2 linked regions of the Oryctolagus cuniculus genome follow. The protein of the gene in region 1 interacts with the protein of each later gene in a pairwise test. Links are inferred from orthologs where the notes say so. Each region holds a gene or a part of one and is shown on either strand. Other genes may lie near its edges.

Evidence for each region. The genes of interacting proteins can lie anywhere in the genome.
Region 2: the proteins of C1H11orf68 (region 1) and CSDE1 interact in a two-hybrid assay, tested with the Homo sapiens proteins (2 studies listed by BioGRID and IntAct). The link is inferred for Oryctolagus cuniculus from reciprocal best matches to the Homo sapiens genes C11orf68 and CSDE1.

What each region holds. Positions count from the first base shown.
Region 1 is NC_091432.1:5,855,919-5,859,663, forward strand, and holds C1H11orf68 (UPF0696 protein C11orf68 homolog), read left to right. Parts: upstream 1-1,556; 5' UTR 1,557-1,634; coding exon 1,635-1,747; intron 1,748-2,188; exon of another isoform or gene 2,189-2,280; coding exon 2,281-3,037; 3' UTR 3,038-3,564; downstream 3,565-3,745. Other genes in the region: DRAP1 (dr1-associated corepressor), read right to left, coding at 368-461, 553-672, 763-856, 940-1,012, 1,198-1,239.
Region 2 is NC_091438.1:55,577,290-55,581,034, forward strand, and holds the start of CSDE1 (cold shock domain-containing protein E1), read left to right. Parts: upstream 1-1,143; 5' UTR 1,144-3,745. UniProt on the Homo sapiens protein: RNA-binding protein involved in translationally coupled mRNA turnover.

The DNA.
Region 1 (3,745 bases):
AGGGGGTGACCAGCAAAGGCATGGACGGGCCATGGGTCACTGGGGAGCTGTGACCCCGGGAGTGGCCGCGGGTCACTGGGGAGCTGAGACCCGGGAATGGCCGTGGTCACTGGGGAGCTGAGACCCGGGAATGGCCGTGGTCACTGGGGAGCTGAGACCCGGGTCACTGGGGAGCTGAGACCCGGAGTGGCCGCGGTCACTGGGGAGCTGAGACCCGGGAATGGCCGTGGTCACTGGGGAGCTGAGACCCGGGTCACTGGGGAGCTGAGACCCGGGAGTGGCCGCAGTCACTGGGGAGCTGAGGCCCGGGAGTGGCCGCGGGGAAGGACGGGACCAGGGCAGGGCAGAGGCCGGGGCCCGCGCTCACCTCCTGCTCCGAGTCTGTGCCCGACAGCTTCTTGTCTTTGCCTTTGCTCCCCACGCCTCCGTTCTTGCGGCCGCCGCTGCCCGGCTTCCGGCCCCTTGGGGGAGGCACGGTCCGTGTGCCCAGAGGTCCCCCGCCGCCGCCCGCCGCCGCCCGCCGCCGCCCGCCCCCGCGGCCCCGGCCCGCACCTGCGAGGCGCCTTGTCCGCATCCATGTGGTTGTCGTCCCCGTCGCCCTGCATGTCGGGGACCGACGCCACCAGGTCCTTGAGGAAGTCAAACTGTTGCTCCTGCTCGATGCACTGCTTCCTGCGGGAGGCGGCGGACCGGGGGTGACGCCGCGGCCGGGCCGCCCCCCGCAGCCGCCCGCCGCCCTCCCCCGGCGCCGGGGCCACGCACAGGTGCGACGTGGTCATGGTCTTGGCGTTGCGGGACTGGGTCACCTGGCACGCTTTCTTCAACAGCGACTCGAGGAACAGCTCGAGCGCCCGGGCTGGGGGGCGTCAAGGAGCACGCGGGCGCCGGGCGGCCGCCCCCCGCCCGCACACGCCCCCCGCCCGGCGCCCCCAAGGATACAGATGATGACCGGCACGGCCGCCGCCACCTTCCCGATCTCCTCGTCCGTCTGCATGATCTTCTTGATGCGCGCCTGCGGGGCGGACAGCGCTCGGACCCCCTCCGCCCGCTGCGGCGGGTGGGGGTCCCGGGAGAAAGGGGGCGGGGCGCCAAGCCCCCACCACCACCACGAGCACCGCGATGCGCCCGCCCCCCACACCCCCGCGGCGGGGCCCGGACCCTGAGCCTCCGCCGCGCCGGGCCCCGCCACGTGCTCACCGGCGGGAACCGCGCGTTGTACTTCTTCTTCTTGCTCGGCATCTCCGGGCCTCTCTCGCCGCGCCGGGCCCCGCGCCGCCGCCCGCAGCCTCCGGGCGCCCGGGCCTGCTCGCCGCCGGCCCGCCGCGGTTCCCCCGGGTCCTGGCGCCGCCGCTCCCCGGCAGGGTCCTAGCGCCGCCCGCTCAACGCCGCTCGCTGCGCCCAAGCGCCCGCCCCCCTGGCGTCTCCCAGGCGTCTCCCGTCTCCGCCGCTCCCGCCCGCCCCAAGGCCCCAGCTGCGAACGTTAGCCCCGCCCCCGCAGGCCCGCCCCGCCCCGGGGTCGGCCCCGCCCCCGCAGCGCCGGCCCCGCCCCGCAGCGCGGCGGATGCGGCGCGGCGGCCCCGCCCCTGTGGCCGCGCTTGTCTATAAAGTTGTTGTTGAGACGGCGGGGCGCTAAGATGGCGGCGGCGGCGGCCGTGGCGGGGGCGGGGCGCGGCGGCGGCGCGGAGCCCCGGCAGGAGCGGAACCGGACCCGGAGCTGGGCCGGCGCGGAACGCAGCGAAGGCCGGAGGTGACTGCGGGGCGGCGAGCGGGGCGGGCCCGGGGCAGAGCCCCGACTCGGGCGGTGGGCGCGTCGGCCCCTCCGGCTGGCCGGACAGGCCCGGGTTCGAGTCCTAGCACTGCCCCGTTCGTCTCCGACCGGTCACTGCCGTCTGGGGGCCTCGAGGTCCTCGCCTCGAAGTGGGCCCGGTAACGCCCCCAGGGAGGCCCGGCCTTCCAGGGCCCGCCGCGGGGGCTGCGTGAACCTCCTCTTCCCTGCCTCTCCCTCCACGCCCGGCCCCGCTGGCCGGGGGTAGCTGAGGCCGGAGCTCCCGCACCTGCGTTCCTGCGTGGGCCCTGCCCCTTGCCCTGCAACCGGTGTGCTGCGGGAGCGCCAAGGGGAGTAGTAGCGCCCCCGGCACCGAGGCTCAGGTAGGCGTTCTCCACCTGGGGCATCTGATTGTCCCAGCAGAGCCAGCAGCTGTCCCATTGTAGAGACGAGGCAACCGAGGCCGGCCACACGGTTTAGCGCGGCGCTGCTCTGACGGGGTTCCCTCCCGGCAGGATGGAGCCAGGTGAGGAGCTGGAGGAGGAGGACTCTCCCGGCGGCCGGGAGGACGGCTTCACCGCGGAGCACCTGGCTGCTGAGGCCATGGCCGCCGACATGGACCCCTGGCTGGTGTTCGATGCCCGCACCGCGCCTGCGGCCGAGCTGGATGCCTGGCTGGCCAAGTACCCGCCGTCGCAAGTCACCCGCTACGGGGACCCCGGGTCGCCCAACGCCGAGCCCGTGGGCTGGATCGCCGTGTACGGGCAGGGCTACACCCCCAACTCCGGCGACGTGCAGGGGCTGCAGGCGGCCTGGGAGGCTCTGCAGAGCAGCGGCCGGCCTGTCACGCCGGGCACCCTGCGCCAGCTCGCCATCGCCCACCGCGTGCTGTCGGGGAAGTGGCTGATGCACCTGAGCCCTGGCTTCAAGCTGGACCACGCCTGGGCCGGCGTCGCCCGGGCCGTCGTGGAGGGCCGGCTGCAGGTGGCGAAGGTGAGCCCGCGCGCCAAGGAGGGGGGGCGCCAGGTGATCTGCGTCTACACGGACGACTTCACGGACCGCTTGGGCGTCCTGGAGGCGGATTCGGCCATCCGCGCGGCGGGCATCAAGTGCCTGCTCACCTACAAGCCCGATGTGTACACCTACCTGGGCATCTACCGCGCCAACCGCTGGCACCTGTGCCCCACGCTCTACGAGAGCCGCTTCCAGCTCGGGGGCGGGGCCCGCGGCTCCCGCGTGCTGGACCGCGCCAACAACGTGGAGCTGACCTAGCGGGGTGACCACGCCCTGGCCTCCCCCGCCCGGGCGGCCCGGCCTCGTCCTCCTTGTCCCGAGAAAGCCACGCCCCCAGCTCTGAGGACAAGGTCGCCCAACAACCGCCTGCATCTCCGGTCCCCTTGGACTTGTGCCCTGGCTGCCGCCGGCCCCCAGGGGGCGGGCCTGGGCCTCCCTCTTCCTCGCAGCTCCGCCCTGCAGCCCAGGGCCACGGGGTGGGTGCAGACACCCAAGAAGAGAGCCCCGCCGCACCTCCCCTCCGCCTGCACTCGCCAGCTCTCCTTCCCCCCTCTCACGGGGAACACAGTGCTTCCAGTCCCGCCCCGTGGAGCCTCTAGTGCGGGGGCCAGGGCCCGCAGGCGTGAGCGTGCCATTTAGCCAGGAGGGTCCTTGCGCCCACATCCCCGGGCAGAGAGGGGATGTGCACCACGGACACGGCCCGCCCCCTCTGCCACCTCCCTCTCTTCCCAGCTACCAGACACGTGCCTGCTCCTGGCATCTCAATAAAACCCAGCCTGGGTCTGTGTCCTGAGTGTTTTTCCAAAACCTGGGTGGTTACCTGCTGTGGTTGCTGGGAGCGGCGGGGCCAGGACACACACACCCCCCACCCGCACATACCCAGCTGGCCGCCTTCCCGCCCGCCCCCTCCTGCACCCCGTTGACGCGGTAGGCCTTGGTGCCGGGCCCTGGCTCCCCCGGGAGCCC
Region 2 (3,745 bases), on another chromosome or scaffold:
CTGTAACTGCCTTTCAAATAAATAAATAAATCTTAAAAAAAAAAAAAAGAATTGGAATACTACCAGTGCTTTGCTTTCATCTATTTGAGCCCCTCCTATCTTTCTCCACCCCCTGCTCCCTTTAGTAGTTTTATCACATGTAAAAAGGCCTAGAATATTTATCCCTAAAGTGACTTTTCTTTTTTAGTTTTGTTCCTTTTTGAACTTTATAAAAATGGTGTGTTTTTTTGTAGTATAGGAATATGATTTTTTTCATTCAATTTTAAGATTCATACATTTTTGTTGTAGACAACCATCATTCATTCATTTTCACCAGTATATATTTCATTGTGTGATTATAAAATTCATTGCTCAGATACATAGGTAATGACATTTTTGAAAATTCTTGCTACTATATGACAACTAATTTTTGGCTGGCGCCGTGGCTCCCTAGGCTAATCCTCCACCTAGCAGTGCCGGCACAATGGGTTCTAGTCCAGGTTGGGGCGCTGGATTCTGTCCCGGTTGCCCCTCTTCCAGGCCAGATCTCTGCTGTGGCCCGGGAGTGCAGTGGAGGATGGCCCAAGTCCTTGGGCCCTGCACCCCATGGGAGACCAGGAGAAGCACCTGGCTCCTGCCATCGGATCAGCGCGGTGCGCCGGCCGCAGCGCGCCAGCCGCAGCGGCCATTGGAGGGTGAACTAACAGCAAAAGAAGACCTTTCTCTCTGTCTCTCTCTTTCACTGTCCACTCTGCCTGTCAAAAAAAAATAATAAAATAAATAGAAAATTCTTGCTACTGTATGACAACTAATTTTTAATTGTTCACCCACTTCATCTGTACTACATACATACCTATCTGTGTCATACACTAATATGACAACTAATTGACCTACTTCATCTGTGTTACACATGTTTATAAGCTGTCATGTTTCCTATTTCGCTGGAAAGTCTGATGGCAACTTTCAGAATGAACTGATGAGTTTTATCTACTGTTATTCATAGTGGAATGTGGATGATGCCTTTTCTTTTATCACTCTCCAAAACCTGCTAAAGGAGGCAGAATTTTCAGAGCTTCAAATAACTTCACTCAGCAGTTCAGGGAGCCTGAAAATATCTGTGGAATTAATGGTTGAGTTTCTGTATGTTATCCTAGAAATGTTTTTATTTATTTATTTATTTATTTATTTGACAGAGTGGATAGTGAGAGAGAGAGAGACAGGAAAAAGGTCTTCCTTTTTGCCGTTGGTTCACCCTCCAATGGCCGCTGTGGCCAGTGCGCTGCGGCCGGCGCATTGCGCTGATCCGAAGCCAGGAGGAGGTGCTTCTCCTGGTCTCCCATGCGGGTGCAAGGCCCAAGGACTTGGGCCATCCTCCACTGCACTCCCGGGCCATAGCAGAGAGCTGGCCTGGAAGAGGGGCAACGGGGACAGAATCCGGCGCCCCGACCGGGACTAGAAACCGGTGTGCCGGTGCCACAGGTGGAGGATTAGCCTAGTGAGCCGCGGCGCCGGCCTTTTATTTCATTTTTTAACATCACTCAAGTTGGAATGTCTGAGATTGTGATGTGGTTAATTGTGAGCATAAGCAAACTTGGTTTGCATTCCTGGGGTATGACTGGACAAAGGCAATCTCAGTCAACAAACTAAGGAGCGTTTGAAAAAGGAATCCAGGTTTTGGCTGTTTCTGTGCATTTTTCATGAAAAACTTATATGATCAGGAGAGTGCCAATATAAAAATTTGGAGTATGGCCATGTTCATTTTTACTACCATCTAACAAGTTAGTACAAGTTTAGCAGTTTAGAACAACACTCATCCATTTATTATCTCACAGTTCTGTAGGCTGGAAGTCCCTACAGGGATCAAATGAGTTCTGTCAGCCTCACAGGGCTGAAATCAAGGTGTTGGACAAGGCTTTCATCTTTTCTGAGGCTCTGAGCCCCCTTCAAAACTCATGAATATTGAAAAACTCATTTTCTTTTTTTTTTCAAGTAGGACAACTCAGTCCACCTGATTTTTTTTTTAATTAATTTATTTGACAGATAGAGTTAGAGAGAGAGAGACCAAGAGAAAGGTCTTTCCTCTGTTGGTTCATCCCCCAAATGGCTGCTATGGCCAGAGCTACGCCAGTCCGAAGCCAGGAGCCAGGTGCTTCTTCCTGGTCTCCCACACAGGTACAGGGGCCCAAGCACTTGGGCCATCCTCCACTGCCCTTCTGGGCCACAGCAGAGAGCTGGACTGGAAGAGGAGCAACTGGGACTAGAACCTGGCACCAATATGAGATGCCAGCACTGCAGGCGGAGGATTAACCAAATGAGCCACGACGCCGGCCCCGAAAAAACTCATTTTCTTGTGCCTGTGGAACTCACAAAGACTGTCTCCAAGACCAACAGAGACCATCTGTGTGAATTCTCTTGTCTTCCACCTTTTTTCTCTCTTTTGCGAACACACCTGATTGAGTCAGGCCTAGCCAGAATAATCTTGACTAAGACAACTAGAGATCTTAATTATATCTGTAGTGATTCCTTTACTTTAAAAGAGTGATGTTTTCTTATATTCATAGGTCCCACCCATGTTCAAGAGGGATTGAAACAGCATCTATACCAGGCAGTGGGAATCTGGTGGCCATTGGAGAAATTTTGCCTACTTCAATGGCTTTTCACAGCTTGAAATAAAACCCTAGAAACAATAAAGCACCCTTTGAGGAAGTGGTGCAGCACAAATGTTGGTGGTCCAATAACAGTTCTACGTGGCAAAAGAGATTCGGCAAGATCCAGCAATAGATGCTAAAACCAGTGGACTAAACTTGAAGCCCAAGGGCTGGTGTTGTGGCATTGTGGGCTAAGCCTCCACTTGGAATGACATCATCCAATATTGGTGCACCACTTCCATTCCTGGCTGCTCCACTTCCCATCCAGCTCCTGTTATGTGCCTGGGAAGGCAGTGGAGAGTGGCTCAAGTATTGGGTCCCTGCCATCCATGTGGGAGACCAAATGGGGTTCCTGGCTCCTGGCTTCCGCCTGGCCCAAAGCTGACTGTTACAGCCATTTGGAGAGTGAACCAGCTGACAGAAGATCTCTGTCTCTCCCTCTGTTGCTCTGCCTTTCAAATTAGTACTTTAAAAAAAAAAAAGTAAAGTTTAAGCAGAAATGGGATATTTGCATAGTTTCTTTGTGTATTAGCTTCCTATGGTTGCCATAAGCAGGTGTCACAAACTGTGGTTTAAACCAACAGAAATTTGAGGAAGACATGTGGCTCAGCAATTTAAACTGCAAGAGATGCCTGCATCCCATATTGGAGTGATAGTTGGAGTCTCAGCTACTTGATACTGCCGATCCAGCTTCCTGGGAATGTGCTGGGGAGCCAGTGGATGCTGGCCAAGTACTTGGGCCCCTGCCACCCATGTGGGAGACCTGGATAGAGTTCCTGGTATTGACTTTGGCCTGGCCTTCTGCCAGCTGTTGAGGGCACTTTGAGATTCTGTTTCTCCCTGCCCTCTCTAACTCTGCCTTTCAAACAAATAAATTGTTTTTTAAAAGCAAACATATTTCCTCATAGACCTGAAGGCTAAGTCTGAAATAAAAAGTGTTGATTCCTCATGAAGGCTCTGAGGGAGAATGTGTTCCATGCCCCTATTCCAGTTTCTGGGGTTGCTGGCAATTCTTGGCATTCCATGACTTTTTTTTTTTTTTTTTTTTTTGACAGGCAGAGTGGACAGTGAAAAAGAGAGAGAGACAGGAGAAAGGTCTTCCTTCTACCGTTGGTTCA